Nothobranchius furzeri: one gene and its partners. The protein of the gene in region 2 purifies or fractionates together with the protein of the main gene of each other region. This does not show direct contact. Links are inferred from orthologs where the notes say so. Each region holds a gene or a part of one and is shown on either strand. Other genes may lie near its edges. The genes, in order: lamtor1, slc38a9, lamtor2 and lamtor5.

Region 1 (4,118 bases), on a different chromosome or scaffold from region 2:
TGCTAAAGATTTCATCATGTTAAGAATGTGATCTGTGTGTGATTTACCTGCTGAACATCTGAATATGGCACCAGGTCACTTGCAAGAACTTGGTGGGGCTGGCTAGTTAGAGAGGGAAGAGTGTCTGCTTTCTTTGGGGGCAGGTTGGTGCTCAACACAGCCAACTTTGAACTATAAAAAAACCCAATCAAAAACAAACTTGCAATTAATTTGAGTTAAAATGACTCAAAAACAAATGTTTTCCATGAACTGAACGGCTGTTTATTCACAAGTACGTTTTTAGATGCAATATAATTAGATGCCCACTAGAGGTCACTAAAAAGGAGGAGGCAAGGCCGGCCTTATTGTAATTTTGAGGTCTGGTGTTGAAATTCCTTATTTCATGTCAGCAGTTTTCTTCTTCCCCAGCTGTATGGCCTCCAAAAAGACAGTTTTACGTTGTTCATTTCCTGAATGACTTTAATAAAACATTTTTAATTAAAGCCCAAATAAACTTCAGATTCAGTCTCATCAACAACTCTTTCAGGTCAACTAGTTCCAGAAGAATAAAAGTAGAACCTCCCATCAAAAATAAAGTATCAGTCTATAACAAACATCTACTCGTCTACATGCCTGTATTGTCTAGCTTTGTCCATGTATTCACGCTGCTCCATAACCACTGATTCCGTTGCAGAGACATCAATGATATTCCTGGAAGACAAGAAAAACAACGTTAGTTATATTATGATTATTCTCTATTCCAACACTCTTAACGGATGCTGTAGTACGATGCAGTCACACATCATCGGTTATAGTCCCAACATCCGTGTAGTGCTGCACTAGTAACCTGGAGGTGCATGACTAATACCTTCTAGTTCAATTACACAAATGTTATTTCACATGATCTAAAAGTCATTGATAAAGTTTCTTTGGATGGTAAATATGTTGTGTTTAGACTCATCAGTGGAAGCGTCTTACTGTGCGGCCTTCGTGAGGATGGATGTAAGGATAGCCTGCTCAGTTGCCTGTGCAGAGGGAACACTGGGAGTGATCCAGTCGGTCCCATTTGGAGGTTTGTTGACAGGGTTCGGATGGGGTATTAGTGACTCCGTTTCACTGTTCTTCTAGAGCAGAGTTGGAATAAAATAGAAATAATGTGATCAGGTAGTTTTAGCAAATTATACGTTTAATAAAACAAACAAGAGACTATGAGATTAAACGATTAGTTATTAGATATGTTTTCTGGGGAGAAGGAGTAAACGTTACACAAAATATATGTAGAAGAAGAATTAATCAAAGTTTGTTTAAAACAACTTTCATGCATTATACAAATGTCCGTCCAACTTCTTTACGATTACATGTTATAAACAATGACAGAAATGTATAAAGGTGGGGGACACTCATTTAATAAGTAGATTTACAGTGGTGTCTAATAGGAATGAATGCCTTGCAAGTTGTACTCTGGAGGAAAAAAAGCTCCAGTGCACCTGTTTCAGGAACTAGAATATTGTCACATTAGAGGAGAACTTCAAATGACAGGAGCTATACTCTTACGTCCTGATATTTGGAAACCTTGTCTCAGATAACACAAGCCTGATAGAGTTCTGCCATGTGGTAGAGTTGCTAATGCTAATAGTAATGGTTAGCTTCTACTAGCCGAGACACACTGTTGTTTCCTGGATGATAGACCAACAACAGCCTTCCCTGTGAGTCATGATGGGTGAGTCCATGAATGTTAAGTGACAGTGTGACGTAAATCTGTCAGGATTTTCTAATCCTAGCGTTTCATCGTCTGTCTTCTATCAGAAGCTAATGCTGGAGATAGGTGTAGGAGACTATGTTCATGTTCTGCCTGAATAAAAAACTCAAGAGTGGTCAGTTATAATCAGAAATGATCATTAAAAGGTTTTTCAGTGTTCCAGACCTTTAATTTTCCTTTGTTCAGAAACAGAGAGCTGATTATATACAATCTTAAATATATCAAAGTCATTCTGCCTTAAAATTTACATTTATCTGAAACTGTAAAGAAAAATGTATATTTTCAGACTAACATAGGTTAAATAGACTGGTTGTACCCAGGTTGTACCCTAACCCTAAGATGAAATGTATTAATCTACTTAAAGAGAAACTGATTATGAGGAAGGATGAAGACAAACTGGTTTATTTCCCTAAACTAAAATAAAACTGGGATATTTACAGCAGCCATATGACACCACGCACATCCACATGATGTTCAGTTATTTAGCTCCTTGACACACGGGTCACAATTGATTATTTAGCCAATAAGTAGAGAAGAAATCAGTCTATTCCTGATTAGCAGGACCTTTGGGAGGCTATAAATCCTCATGCCCCACTAAACAGGACAATAGCAGAAAATGATGTGCTCGCAGCTTTACTAAACACTTGATTTTTGCCCTCAGGACAGTTTATTCTGAACTGTTTCTGACCTGCGCTAACTCAAAGGGCTGCCTTTAGCCCAGGCCTTAGCAAGCTGACGCTTCCTGTTTAATGTTACGGACAACAAACGAGTTATGTGTGAACATGAAATGGCTCATTCACTAAACACTGTCAAGACACCTAGCCAGCAGAACTTATTTAGTGTTTGAATAAACGAATGAAGTTAACTGTTTTAGCTTTAGCCGCCAGCTAGCTAGCTACCTACCTCCCTGGAGTTGTCGTCCTCGCCACTGTAACAGCAACCCATGGCAACGTCCAAGGCTGAAACTAAACTACCCCGGCTTCCCTGCGCTCCTTCAGAAACGAGCAGAGCTCTTCTTCCCCTGCAAACATAAAGCTTTGTTTGTTTCTTACTGTTGTTACTACGGCCCCATACAAAAGTAGGAATCTACTGTCCACAGCAGCTTCTGAGTGAGGCTATCACATGACAGCAGCTGTGGTGCAACAACAACACAACAACTACTTCCGGTATTTGAGAAGCAGCGACGTCCCAGGACACGTGAGGGCAGAAATGTTGAACGTTCTTATCAGAAACCTCGGCAGAACTAAAAATGGTGACTGATAATTAAAAAAAGCATAAATGTTCCAGTCATAGGGGCTCCCAAAACAGGATTTGCTTTTTTCAATAACTTTATTGAACAAAGTTCATTTACAAAATAAGAGAACAAATGAAATACAAGCAGAATACAGCATTTTGCGTTTTTGCCACAGTTAAATGTTTCATGTTAGCAAAAAATAAATAAATACGGGGAGAAAATAACCCAAGTAAATAAAAGTCTGTTTTCAAATGATGGGAAAAAGTCTATATCCAAATCAGTCCAGGGGAAAAATTACTCCCTAAAATTATAGTTGTAAAACTTTGTGAGACATCAAGAGCATGCAAGCATTTCCAATAACTGCACATAAGTCTCTCACATTGGTGTGGAGAAGTTTAAGTCTACAATTCATTTTAAATGTTTTTGGCATGTTTAAATTAAAAGTTCAGACATTCTCCATGGGCCAGGTACCGTTTGTATGATGATCTTTTTCTGAAACTCACTGTTAGTTTCCCACAAGATGAGTCACAAATCTTACAAAACGTTTCACTTTTGTCTCAACGGTCCACAAAATGTTCATCCATCCTTTTGTTAAACCAGATTATCCATGCAGGCATCTATAGGCAGAGACTCAAACCCAGACCAAGGGCAAATGGGAATCTGATTTTTTTTTATAGGACATTGGTTTGTGTAAGTTGGACAGAGTTAGAAAATAAAGCAAGTCAGCACAGGTACTGTTCTACTGGGAACCTTTGCTCCTTCCTTTTATGTGGATGCAGTTTTAACATTTACAACCTTCATGGGAGTTGTTGCATCTCCTTTTTCTCTCATGCCAGCAGCTGTTTCAGATGGGAAATGTGCCACTAAAGTTCAAGAATAACTGTTTTTTAGCTTTAAAATGTTGTTTTAGAGAAGGGTATCCATGTTAAATAACTGATTATTGTGTAAGATAATGAGATTGCCTCTTTCCTTTTTGTCAATCTAAAAACATCAAGTGTTTGATCAAAACTTTTCCCAAGCTTGCTGTGCAGGATGAACAAGAGACAGAAACAGGATGAGGCATGTTGGTGAACAAGTGGCAGCTTCTCTGAGAAAGATGAAAGGGTCTCAGATGCCTTTGACTGAGTGCATAATAAAAACAGTGTA
Region 2 (4,204 bases):
GACAGTGACAAATTTCGCTGATCGCGGTCGTTTGTCGCCTCCCGTGTGTCGAGCCCATAAGGCGTTGATGTTATCTTGCAGTTGACAAACCAACATCTTTAAATGAAACTAATACCAGCATGAACTATTTTCTTCCATTGTTTAGGTTAAACCTTTACATTCAGCTTCACTAAAGCTTTCCTGGAGGTGGTTGGAGGGACCGATGGCATCTGTGTATAGCAGCCTCGCTTCTGTCAATGTGCCTCAGGGCAGCTGTGGCTACAGTGTAGCTCACCATCTCCAGTGTGTGTGTGTGTGTGTGTGTGTGTGTGTGTGTGTGTGTGTGTGTGTGTGTGTGTGTGTGTGTGTGTGTGTGTGTGTGTGTGTGTGTGTGTGTGTGTGTGTGTGTGTGTGTGTGTGTGTGTGTGTGTGTGTGTGTGTGTGCGCGCGCCTTGGGGTGCTTAGAAGGTGCTACATAAATACAGGTCATCTCCTCCATTTGTGTCACTTTGTTCTGGCTGTGGTCCAGCAGCTGAGGAAGTGTCCTTCAGCAGAGCAGACCTCTGTGATGTGACTAACATGGCTCCCTGTCCAACTTGGCCTACTGGGAATATTAGGTCTAAAGACACAAGTTTCTGAAAAGACTGACTGAATTCAGTTTGACCTGACCAGGTGTTTATCACCAATAACGTCAGGCCCACTGAACCGGTCGAAGCACCTCAGAGATCCCAGCCTCCAGTCTGACCATTGCAGTGTTTCATGGGCATCTACCGTTTGACTTTGCAGTCCAGGGAGTCGGTGGATCCTCGGTTGGAGTAGGTCTCTCCGGTGTACTGGGAGCTCAGCAGAGGTCTGCCCTCATCCTCCATGATCACCTCAGACGTCAACTAAAGACTCACATTCCCTGTCTGAAAGAGCATGCAGTCAGTCATATAACAAACAAACACAACTCAGCTGTGTGCTGAAACGGGCATAAAGACATCAATCCAACCTCTGTGTAATAACAATGTTCCTTAAATAGTGGTTAGTATGAGCTACATGTCCATGAGTCAGCATGTGTGTACAGGGAACAGAGGAAAATATTTTTGTGAAAAGGCTGAACTACGGTGTCTCTTTCATTCCTGTTTGGTTTGGTCTGAGCTGCCTGCTGCTGACGCTCCCTTCGGCTCAGTGTCAAATTATCCTGCTTTTCCATTTTTTACCTCCTCTGTAGTTACAAGAGCTTCAATTTTAAGACACACGTTTAGCTGACAGTCTAAAAAAAATGGTTGCCTCATCACTTGAATGAGGTAGTTCACACTATACGACCGACCTGAAATCCATGAGTCAGGCCTTTTCAAAGGAGGAAGTTCTAAAAGGAAGAACATGCATGTTACTAAACCTATGCTGTCAGACAAAAGCAGAACCATCCAGAGGTTCGGATGATATTTAGTTATTCTGTGTGCTGACTGATTGTTAAATTTTATCTAAGCTACAGTTGTTGTGAAAGGAAAAAAAAAACACTGAATTTATTTTCTTTTAAACTGATGGATTATTTGTCCCAGAAAGTTCACGGACATCAACAAGAAGGACAGTAGTTAGAGGGTGGCTGCTCTGAGTCTTTAATTTCAATATTGTCCAAGGGGGTGTGGGTGCTTTCATGAGTAATGAAGACCCAACTGGTGGTGGTCGACCAGCATTGGACTTCAAGTGTGTTTCACTTTGATTATAATTAAATCTGGTTTCAGAGTGGTTTAAGTTTTTTGTTTTAAAGGCATTTCAGACTCTACGGTCCCCATCTGGAGCTTCTAGCTGCTGTCAGATCATGATTAATCATCTGACAGCTAATGATTTAATTAGTTCTTGTGGTTCCTTTAATTTTTGTTGTGTAAAAACTGGCAGATGTGAAGTTTTCCAGCATTCCCTGTCCAAATAAACCGAGTCAATCCAACTATCCTAGGTCCATTTTCACAGTGTTAAGTAAAACCATTGATTGAGCAGACATGAACTGGTCTCAGTGCTGCTGGGTTCATTTCTTTTTACTGGTGTGTGGTGGGGAGCATGCTGCTGACATCTGTCGCAGCTTGGTCTGGGAAATGGTCTGAGGCTGACATGAAGACGAAGTGGTTAGATCTGCTCATAAATGACCCGCAGCAGCCTCCCAGCTGGTGTGACAGGAGATGCAGAACCTTTTGATGTACAGGTGAAGGGTCTGGTCTTGTCCCAGCATGCATCACAACCTCGTGGTTTCTCTAACTGAAGATTACATCTAAAGTCCAGATAGATCTGCTGAGACCAACTGTATGCAGTAATGCTGTTGTTCTGTTGAGACTTTGACCCATTGATTCTCATTAAACCACAGTCCAATCCTGTCTGAATCAGATTCATCTAAATATCAATCAATAACTCCTTCTTTTGACTTAATCATTTCCAAACGACCAAATGTGTATTTTTTCAGTTGTTCTGTTCCGGTGGATGCGCGCGCATCCAGTAACACAAACTACCGTCTACTTTCCTACCTTAAACAAACACACTAAACCTGACCCAAAGCTGTCAACATATTACAACATGGAAATGGCGGAACCGTTCCACTAAGGCTCGTGGAACATTAGTCCAAATAGAGCGTGAACATCCGGGAAATATTACACGTAAGTGTAGATTCCTTTCGTCCCCGTCAACGTTTCGAAAAGAACCCGGGACCTAAACTGCAGCACGCCGTGTTAAAACTCAATAAAAGATGGAGAGTAGAACTGTTACTAACCTGAGAGCGAGAGGATAACCTCTACGTAGCGCTGTGTCTGCGCTCCACAGACATGTCTGTGTGGCTGTCCCTATCAACTTGTTAGTCATGCTAGTGCTGAATGACGTCAGTTGTTCCATTAATGTATGGCAAGTCCGTGCATCATATATTGCACAACGCAAGTTTTTTTTTAAACCATGGATAATTTATTAACCTGTAGAAAGGTACAATACCGTAACATGGATAACTAATCCGTATTTAAGCAGACTCCGCCCAGATACCTTAGTTGGAGATCTCTTCTCTTCTACTTATGTTTTACAGTAAACTTATTTGAATGAGAAACCCGCATTGTGGGGGCTTGGTAGGACTAAAACAGCATCGACATAAATATACGTATATTTATGTCGATGCTATTTTCCAATCCGCTTTGCCTTAGACCCTGGATCACATATGCTGCACTTACATTTAAATTAAAAGTAATGATGTGTGTTTTGACCACACCAGTCACGTACATTGAGATTTATCAGCTCGTAAAAGTTTTTTGTTAGCATGACTAAATTTGCATATATGACGTCACCACAAAATCTCGTCTCCCCTAGCATACTGCTACTTACCACATGGCCAGACTGATGGTGTTTCCTGAAGAAGGATTTGAAGTTTGTTGAACTTACAGCCATTTACTCTCAGTTTTTCTGTCTGGTTTGATGACGTCACTTTCGTGATTTTCACTTGTAGTCCTGGACGTATTTTCACACAAAACCTAAAATAACATTTCCCCTGTTCAAAAATAAGCTTTCTTGGCATCAAAATGCATCTTTAAAATTCACGGACATCATATGTGAAAATCCATGGCACATGCGGAATTAGAAAATAGCACTTTTAGCACCATAGGGAGCCTAAGTCACGCCCATCTTCTTCTGAACCATGGGTCCCCTGAAGAACGAAAAAATGAATGCAAGTCAATGGGGCTAAAAACGCATGGGGATTGGGGGCCACAAAGAGGGGGCCCGCCCGCTGGCCACCTATTGCCCTATGGGAACCTCTTCAGTTCAGGGTCAGTCTGGTGGCTGGCCAATCACAGCGCTCCATCAGTTTGGTAGCCCAATCTTAGTATTCTATCGGTTTGGTGGTTGGGATTAATGCAATTGAGTGAATCTAAGATGGTGACAGCTCATTTATAACTTTGGCATCAACTTTAGACTATTAGACTTGGGCTTTTCTCCAAGTTAAGAGCAGATAAAGGTACTTCAGTCCTTTGTTTAGAAAAAATATTTATATGCGTCTTTTGTGACAGTGTATGATGCACTGCCCCGTTGATGCACAGACAGTCTGAAAGATAACTGTAGATCGTGCCCCATGACTGAGAGCCGTCAATGTGTCGTGGCCAGACTATATTCATATATAGGGAGCCTAATGGGCCATTCCCATCTGTACCGGGTCGGCCCGGGCCGGGTAGCCCCAGTCGGCCCTAGCCTGGCCCGGTTGATTCCACACATCCTTGTCTTA
Region 3 (3,900 bases), on a different chromosome or scaffold from region 2:
ATTATTGCAAAACTGTATAGGCATTTAACTCCAGGTTTGGGTGATTAAAATTTTTATTTTGAAAGCTGAGACTTTCTTTATCTGGCTGCAGGTGAGAAAGTATATTTGATGCTAATGCCTCAAGAGAAAATCACTAACTGGTATCAATTAAAACTCATTAGTTGATTAAATGGAGTTAAACAGAATGCACATGCACTCGTGAGTTTTCTTAGCTTTTAAGTTACCCAGATCTTCTGACTTATTAAAAAAGGTTTTGTTTTTAAAGTATTGGATACTGAAAGAGTGAAAAGTTTCATCAGATTTTTGTGAAATCTGTGATTACTGAAAGAAATAAAATTATCTGGTGATGAAACTCAAAGACAAGCAAGGTAAGCTTCTCTAAACCCGCAAATTCTCCCTTTCACAAGATTTTCAGAGCAAATTTAAGTTTATCTCACCTGATACTGCATATTTAAAATTGTTTAAAAACGTTCAGAGGTGTATACGAGGGTGAAACACACCCAACCGTCACCAGCTCAAAGCAGGATTTAAAAGAATGGGTGACTCTGAGCCAGTATCTCTCATTTATCAAACAACCTTGACATAAAACACAAGTAAATAACAATCTCAACTGCATTTTTCAGAAAGATTCATATAAAATCTCCACACACGTTTTTATCATGATGTACATCTGTGACTCCTAAAAATGTTCAGTTTCACATTGAACAACAAAACTATGACCGAATGGACCGATTCCAAGTGAAAACTGAAAATGGAATCACATTTCAGCTGTACACACACACACACACACACACACACACACACACACACACACACACACACACACACACACACACACACACACACACACACACACACACACACCCCTCCATTTAGAGACATGGCCCTTTGTACACTTAGTGTTGGACAGGAGGGTTACAGCAGTCCACCGATGACCTGAACAGCTGATTTCTTCTTCAGTTCAGACCAACAGAAGCGTTGGTCGGATCTTCACTACGATGCGGCCACTTGAGTCAACGGTTCCTCCAGATACTGAACCAGAGCCTCTGCCTACAAACACAATAAAGCACAATTACTGGAAAAGATTAAATCTGGTACGACCTTTAAACTGATCAGAAACTTCAGCCTCAGTTCAGATTTAGCTGGGTTCTCCATGAGCTGCTCTAGCTGGACAAACCTGATGAACCTCATCCACGTGCCTCCCTGGGTCACTCTAAAGGACTTCCTGTTTTAAACAGTGGAACAGAAGTCTAGAACCACTCAGCACATTCCTCAGAAATACTAAAAGTGGTTTAATCTGTGTTTAAATGATTAGTTTCAAATGATTTGCACATTCAATGGTTTATTTAATGATCTGCCCTTACATTTTAGCCCTTTAAGTATAAAACGTTTTAGTTAAGACTTACGTTTAATATATGTGAACAGAATATGTCAATAGAAAGTGTTGAAAGGGTTAAAAGCAAAGTTAAAAGCAGTTTTCTTTGCCATCCAAACAACTGTTGTAAAATAATGCTTTAAACTCAATTGACAGAAGAGCTCCAACACATAAAATCTTTACCAATAAAAAGCAAAACGTGGGAAACAATTAGAAGAAAAGGCCCCGAACTCTCACCTTGGCTTTCAGCATCCCGAATCCCACAGTCTCTTTGGCATATATGCACAGCAGCAGGTTGGCTACACGAGTGATGGCCACTCTTCCCTCCTTAAAAAAAAACAAATACACAGAAGAAGGTTACAATTTGAGGTCAGCCTAATGTTTTAGCCTGAATCGGAGCTGTGTTTCTCACCATACAGTCCATGAGGATGAAGGTAAGCTTGTCTTCGTTGAAGGCTTGGTGGCCATTCTTGTCGTAAGCTGCCCAGATGTTGCTGGCGATGGCAGCTGTTACGCGTGCATCGGTATCTCCATAACCAGAGTAAGCCAGGAGGGAACCTTCATTATTCAGCAAGCTGAGAGGATAAACACGTGACACATACTAAGACAGCCTACTCATAAGTTATCTGTGTTGTTAGAAATAATCTTGATGTATGTTTAGATGGTGCAGCTAATGCCTCATCATACAATTAACATTTAGAAAGGTTGACTATTTTAGACACTAATGTGTAAATTAGAAATATTTTATAAATCATCTCATTGAAATTGATCATTATAAACCGAGGTATTTGTTAGGATCTGTTGCAACAGCGTTCTAATCTGTGACATTATAAAAACAGCTACGATAAAAATCATTAAATGCGCAAGTTTTACATTCAAATAACTAAAATTATGTCTTTTAAGCATTAAGAGTTCCCAAAAAACAACGCTTATTTTTCTTTGGGCGAGCTTTCCTTGTACAAAAAACGATAAGCAGCTAAGAGTCAGAGTAAATAGCATCTTAGCATCTCGTTAGCTTGTCGCTAACTCGTACTTACAGAGTGCTCTGGACTCCGTTTGTGTTCGCTTGGCTGAGGACCTGCGTCAGAGCTTTGGGTCGCAACATCGCTGTCGACCTCACCAAAGAATAAAAACGGTTTTAATAATAATAAGAAAAAAACACGAAGTATTTTGATAGTATGTTGATGTACGTGAAGAGCAATGCGTCCAGGCAGTCAGCTGACTTGTCTTTCCGCATTTCCGGCTTCCTTCGCATTGCACTTTGGGAAATGTTGTCTCGCGGTCGTAACTAAAAAGGATTTTCATTGGCCGTGCTCGAGTTGATGGCCTCGCCTGGAAAACAGACGAGAGCAGACGGAAGCAGCAGGGGGAGTGGCTGAAAGCCGGCGTTTAGGTCGGACACAATTTCCTGCATGTGTAGGATGGCTGAAGATATCGCGTTAGAGTTACTTGTTTAATTTTCAATTTTAATTCTGGTGCCTGTTAGCAGCTGAAACACATCCTCACGTGCTTGTGGATATCATGTATTGTATATGAAGACATGATTGTAATAATAAGCAGTGTTGGGAACGTTACTTTAAAAAAGTAATTAGTTATAGTTACTGATTACTTTGTCAAAAAAGTAACTCAGTTACTAACTGAGTTACAAGATCATAAAAGTAACTAATTACCAACAAAAGTAACTACTTAGTTACTTTTTTCATTAAAGAATGCAAGAATTACTACAATAGTAAAATATAAATGACTAATGACTGAACATAATAAAATGTATGTCCAAATGTTTTATATAAACCTGAATAATTTAAACAAATATGCACTTAACAGGAGGAACTACTAATAGGAACATTACACTAATCTAGACTATTAAAAGGTCACTGTGTGATATTTAACAAGACCCCAATCAGCTAAAATTTAAAATTGCAAATAGAAACACCTGTAAAGGTTCCCGAGCCTTTAAATGGTCTCTCAGTCTAGTTAAATTACAGAAATAAATGTAATTTTGCACAGTATTCTAATTTTTCCAGCTTCACATAATTGTGTGTTTTTAGCAGCATTTCTGTTGCTGCTAATCTAGTAACGGTTAAATAAATAAATAAATATCCTTTAAAATGACACTAGAAGAGGCACAGATCTGATGGAGGACTTACATTTACTAACTTGGGTCAGACCCAACCACAGAAGAGCTGAAGCTGGGTGGTGAACACACACAGTTCTGATAACACCTGAGCTCCATGACGTCTGAGACTGATGCATCAGTGTTACAGCGGGACTAAAGACATGATCAGAAACAGGTTACAGCTGGATGATCTAGGAAGGTAGAAGATCAGGACGTCTGAGCGGACCTTCGGGACGTCCCGCTGTCACGCTAAGAAGGGCACGGCTGCAGACCCGCACCTGCAGCCGTAGATATTCATCACGTGTTCCTCGTTCTTCACGGGCCGTGACGCACTTGGATGAAAACATCTACCTCTTTAGCTCCTGATCAGCTGATGATAACAGCTTCAACACACCGCGCTGCTTCACGC
Region 4 (4,193 bases), on a different chromosome or scaffold from region 2:
GTAAAAACATGTAAAATATAAAAATGGCTAATCCAAATATACAAATGAATAAAGTAAACAATAAGATAAGAGATATAAAATATATAGAGGCTGGTATGTGCAAAACAGTGGCATTAATGTACAGTATGGAATGTGTAATGTTGGAGTTTCAGTAGTGAGGGTGAGGTGTCTGTGAAGTGTTCAGCAGTCTGATGGCCTGATGGAAAAAGCTGTCTCTCAGTCTGCTGGTTCTGGACCGGATGCTGCAGAACCTCCTTCCTGATGGAAGTAGTCTGAACAGTTTATGGCTGGGGTGACTTGAGTCCTTGATGATCCTCCCCGTTTTCCTCAGGCACCGCTTCTTATAGATGTCCTGGAGGGAGGGAAGCTCACCTCCAATAATCCTTTCTGCACACCGCACTACTCTCTGGAGAGCTTTGCGGTTGTAAGCGGTGCTGTTGCCATACCAGGTGGAGATGCATCCAGTGAGGATGCTCTCAATGGCACAGCAATAGAAGGTCCTGAGGATACGGTGGCTCATGCCAAATCTTTTCAGTCTTCTGAGAAAGAAGAGGCGCTGCTGTGCCTTCTTCACTGTATTTTCCGTGTGCACTGACCACGTAAGATCCTCTGCCAGGTGAACTCCAAGGAAACGGAAACTGCTCACCCTCTCCACAGCGTCGCCGTTGATGGTGATGGGGGGGTGTATTCCTCTGCTTCCTCTGCTCCTCCGGAAGTCCACTATCATCTCCTTTGTCTTTGTGACGTTGAGGGTGAGACTGTTGTCCTGACACCAGTGGGTCAGGGCGCTGATCTCCTCCCTGTAGGCCGTCTCATCGTGATTGGTGATGAGACCTATCACTGTGGTGTCGTTCGCATACTTCACAATGATGTTGGAGTTTCTCGTGGCCGTGCAGTCGTAGGTGTAGAGTGAGTACAGGAGAGGGCTCAGCACACACCCCTGCGGTGCACCAGTGTTCAGTGTGACGGGGGATGAGGTGGTGCCGCCCATAACATTATTATTATTATTATTATTATTGGAAAATTTAATAAAACTTGAAGGAAAATGCTAATTCTTTCTATCTATCTATCTATCTATCTATCTATCTATCTATCTATCTATCTATCTATCAATCTATCAATCTATCTATCTATCTATCTATCTATCATCTATCTATCTATCTATCTATCTATCTATCTATCTATCTATCTATCTATCTATCTATCTATCTATCTATCTATCTATCTATCTATCTATCTATCTATCTATCTATCTATCTATCAATCATCTATCTATCTATCTATGCCTATTTTGTTTATGTAATGTAAATGGAAAGATTTTGCGTTCTCTCTCTCTCTCTCTCTCTCTCTCTCTCTCTCTTTCTCTTTCGCGTCACACTTTTTGGTCCTCGTTGTGACTCGTAGCGCACGTGACGGTCAGCTGACTCTAACCGGAAACGTCGATGAAACTGTAAACAATTAAACCTTCTCTCTTTTCGTTTGTTAACGATGGAGTCGACTCTTGAACAGCATCTCGATGACACGTACGTTAAAAATCTCACTCTAACTGCTGACGTACTTCACTTTTTGTTTCATTAAAGCCTTTCTCCTTGTTTTTTTGTAGCATGAAGAATCCAGCAGTTGTCGGTGTGCTCTGCACAGATCACCAAGGACACAACCTGGGCTGTAAGATTAATTTAAAAAAGATTTACAGCAAAATGTATGAAACATATTCGGTTTAGTTAGCTTTTACAAGGCTACGTCAGTGTCGTGTTCTTTTTTTTTTGAATAATGAAATAACTTAGTTGCAGCAAAAGCTATTAATGTAACACACAAATAATATTATTTCCTTCAGTTTAGCTATTTTCATCTGTAAAGGTTGAAATACATACTACAGTATAGTTGAAGTTACTGTGAATCATACATTTCAACCATTAAAATCTCAACTTATTTCACATGCCAGAAAATCTTCACAGTGTTTGCACTGTTAGCATAATGAGATTAGCATTTCTGATGGAATGAGCTCTTCTGGCTGTTTAACAGGTCAACAGGAAGCTGCTGTAATTAAATTTAATCACAAAGGCTAATGAGGTATAATTAAAATTAAAATGTAATGTTTTTATAATTCTCTAAACACAACCAATCCAAAATGATGCTTATAATTGTTTATTGTTGATTATTACTCATAAACTAATAAATACTAAATGCTTAATAACCACGCAGTTAGTTAGTGAGGTCATTTATGAACATTATTCACATACAACAATTACTGTCATTGGGAAAGTGAATACTCCGTGGAATTGATTCTGTGTTACTTGTTTGGCTTCCATGGTTTAGTTTGAACTTTGATCTCTTCTACAATTCATCAAACTTCAGGGAGATGAACATGCTCTAAATTTTACTTAGGCTGTGAATTCAGAACATATCCAGTCCATTTTCATCAGCTGTGCAATGAAACACAAAGCAGAACAACTGATGATAATATAAAGTAATTATTTTACTTCCCAGAGGACTCCTGCAGCAGCTGACAGGTATCATGTGGTCTGAAGAATCACAGCTTGACGGTTGCTGGAGCATAGAACTTGCTGGAGGGGCTGTCTGCCCTCTAGCTGTCTTGATGGAGATGGAGAGTCACTGAGATCAGAGAAATCTGAGCTTCGCTCCTGGACCTGTTAGCAACCCAGACTTTGATAATTGGAAGAAAAATGATGGATATATCAGTATATATATTTTTTCTGTTCGGTTTAATTAATATTTATAACAGAGGCATCCAGCAAAGTCTAAGCTCTTTGTTAGCGTCCTCATACTTTTATTATCTTTTTAGGTCTTGTTGAAAGTTATTTTGAAAAGGTTATGATGTAACTGTTGGAAGTGGGTAAACATGAGTATTGTTTTGTGTAGTCAGTAGCAATGTTTCCCTGGTACATGGACAAACCTAAATGAAATAGTCAAAAGATGCAGAAGACAGAAACCAAACAATGAGTTCAACATGATTCAGATCCTCGAGAGACCCCAGAATTCAGAAATCCTCAGTCTGGACTAAATAACAGCAGTGGGACAGAAATGTTTGTAATATGTTAACAATCCTTCATAAGGAGGTCATTGTTGTATACAGGTTTGGAATTAACACAAATCACAGAAAATGACTGTTTGAAAGATGCACTGATTTCCTTTTTTTAAGACATTTAAATAATTCATTGCGTGTTTCTTTTCTTTTTTCTTTTAGGTCGTGGCTCCTTGTCTGATGAACATGGTGGTGTTGTGTCTGTTTTGTCCAAACAAGCTATGGCGCTCACCAGAGACCCAACAGTCACCCCGACCGTGTGCCTGGAGTCTGAGTCAGGGTGAGAGCACTGACCGGGTTTTAGCTTGACTTGTAATTCTTTTTAAAAATCTATCTCGGGGTATTTAAGATGTACCTTTGGGGGTTCTGATTAATGTGTACGGAGATCAATTACTCTAAAAAAAGCTTTTTGAGAGAGATCAGAACCAGAGACTCAGGGTTCTGAATCTGATCCAGTGGTTCACTGTCTCCCAGCAGCTATTAGCATCCGGGTCCGAGCCTTCATCGCGGTTGCTAAAACCAGTACGCTTATCTGGTTCCTCCAGTTTCTATTTACTTACCAAAGGCAATGCCATTTGTGACTTTGAACTGAACATGCTCGGTTCTTGGCATTAGATTCCAGAATGTTGTTCATTTCTTTCCCAAAAGGCAGCTGAGATATTTTCTTGAGACTCCAAGCCCTTTTTAATTTCCCCTAATAACCTCGTAGACATTTAAATAACCCCATCATCATTAAAAACGGGTCCAAAGTTGAACTACAGAATAAAAAATTAAAAAGCCAATGTCCTCTTTAGTGGACGGAGGCTCCATGGAGGATGGAGAGGGAGGAAGTCAACCAACTGTGGGATTTTATTTATGTCGTTGTGCTGCCATCTTCTGGTAAATGAACATCTCGTCTTTCAGAACATTTTACCAACCCAATGACAGCTCCTGAATATTTATTTATTTAAAATTACTGCTGCGAACTTTCAATCTCAGATATAATTTGTTATCTCAAAAGTCTAAATAACATAAATACAAATACAAACGGTTTTGAGTCCGATTCAAGGCTTATTTTAGCTTTTACATCAGTTATATTCAAACAGTATTTTTAGGTTGTGATTGATCATCTCCACAGCCAGAACTCAGTGTTCCATGAACCACTGGGCCA

The links.
Region 1: the proteins of slc38a9 (region 2) and lamtor1 purify together in Homo sapiens (co-immunoprecipitation; 5 studies listed by BioGRID and IntAct, with this or other methods). This does not show direct contact. The link is inferred for Nothobranchius furzeri from reciprocal best matches to the Homo sapiens genes SLC38A9 and LAMTOR1.
Region 3: the proteins of slc38a9 (region 2) and lamtor2 purify together in Homo sapiens (co-immunoprecipitation; 5 studies listed by BioGRID and IntAct, with this or other methods). This does not show direct contact. The link is inferred for Nothobranchius furzeri from reciprocal best matches to the Homo sapiens genes SLC38A9 and LAMTOR2.
Region 4: the proteins of slc38a9 (region 2) and lamtor5 purify together in Homo sapiens (co-immunoprecipitation; 5 studies listed by BioGRID and IntAct, with this or other methods). This does not show direct contact. The link is inferred for Nothobranchius furzeri from reciprocal best matches to the Homo sapiens genes SLC38A9 and LAMTOR5.

Annotation. Positions count from the first base shown.
Region 1 is NC_091753.1:34,140,003-34,144,120, reverse strand, and holds the start of lamtor1 (ragulator complex protein LAMTOR1), read right to left. Parts: upstream 2,861-4,118; 5' UTR 2,684-2,860; coding exon 2,642-2,683; intron 1,104-2,641; coding exon 958-1,103; intron 691-957; coding exon 613-690; intron 172-612; coding exon 48-171; intron 1-47. UniProt on the Homo sapiens protein: Key component of the Ragulator complex, a multiprotein complex involved in amino acid sensing and activation of mTORC1, a signaling complex promoting cell growth in response to growth factors, energy levels, and amino acids.
Region 2 is NC_091746.1:36,518,312-36,522,515, forward strand, and holds the start of slc38a9 (neutral amino acid transporter 9), read right to left. Parts: upstream 2,855-4,204; 5' UTR 2,720-2,854; intron 888-2,719; 5' UTR 849-887; coding exon 751-848; intron 1-750.
Region 3 is NC_091745.1:61,225,368-61,229,267, forward strand, and holds lamtor2 (ragulator complex protein LAMTOR2), read right to left. Parts: upstream 2,698-3,900; 5' UTR 2,481-2,697; coding exon 2,413-2,480; intron 1,951-2,412; coding exon 1,788-1,950; intron 1,703-1,787; coding exon 1,613-1,702; intron 1,051-1,612; coding exon 994-1,050; 3' UTR 552-993; downstream 1-551. UniProt on the Homo sapiens protein: As part of the Ragulator complex it is involved in amino acid sensing and activation of mTORC1, a signaling complex promoting cell growth in response to growth factors, energy levels, and amino acids.
Region 4 is NC_091755.1:27,982,217-27,986,409, forward strand, and holds the start of lamtor5 (ragulator complex protein LAMTOR5), read left to right. Parts: upstream 1-1,381; 5' UTR 1,382-1,488; coding exon 1,489-1,523; intron 1,524-1,603; coding exon 1,604-1,665; intron 1,666-3,205; coding exon 3,206-3,323; intron 3,324-4,193. UniProt on the Homo sapiens protein: As part of the Ragulator complex it is involved in amino acid sensing and activation of mTORC1, a signaling complex promoting cell growth in response to growth factors, energy levels, and amino acids.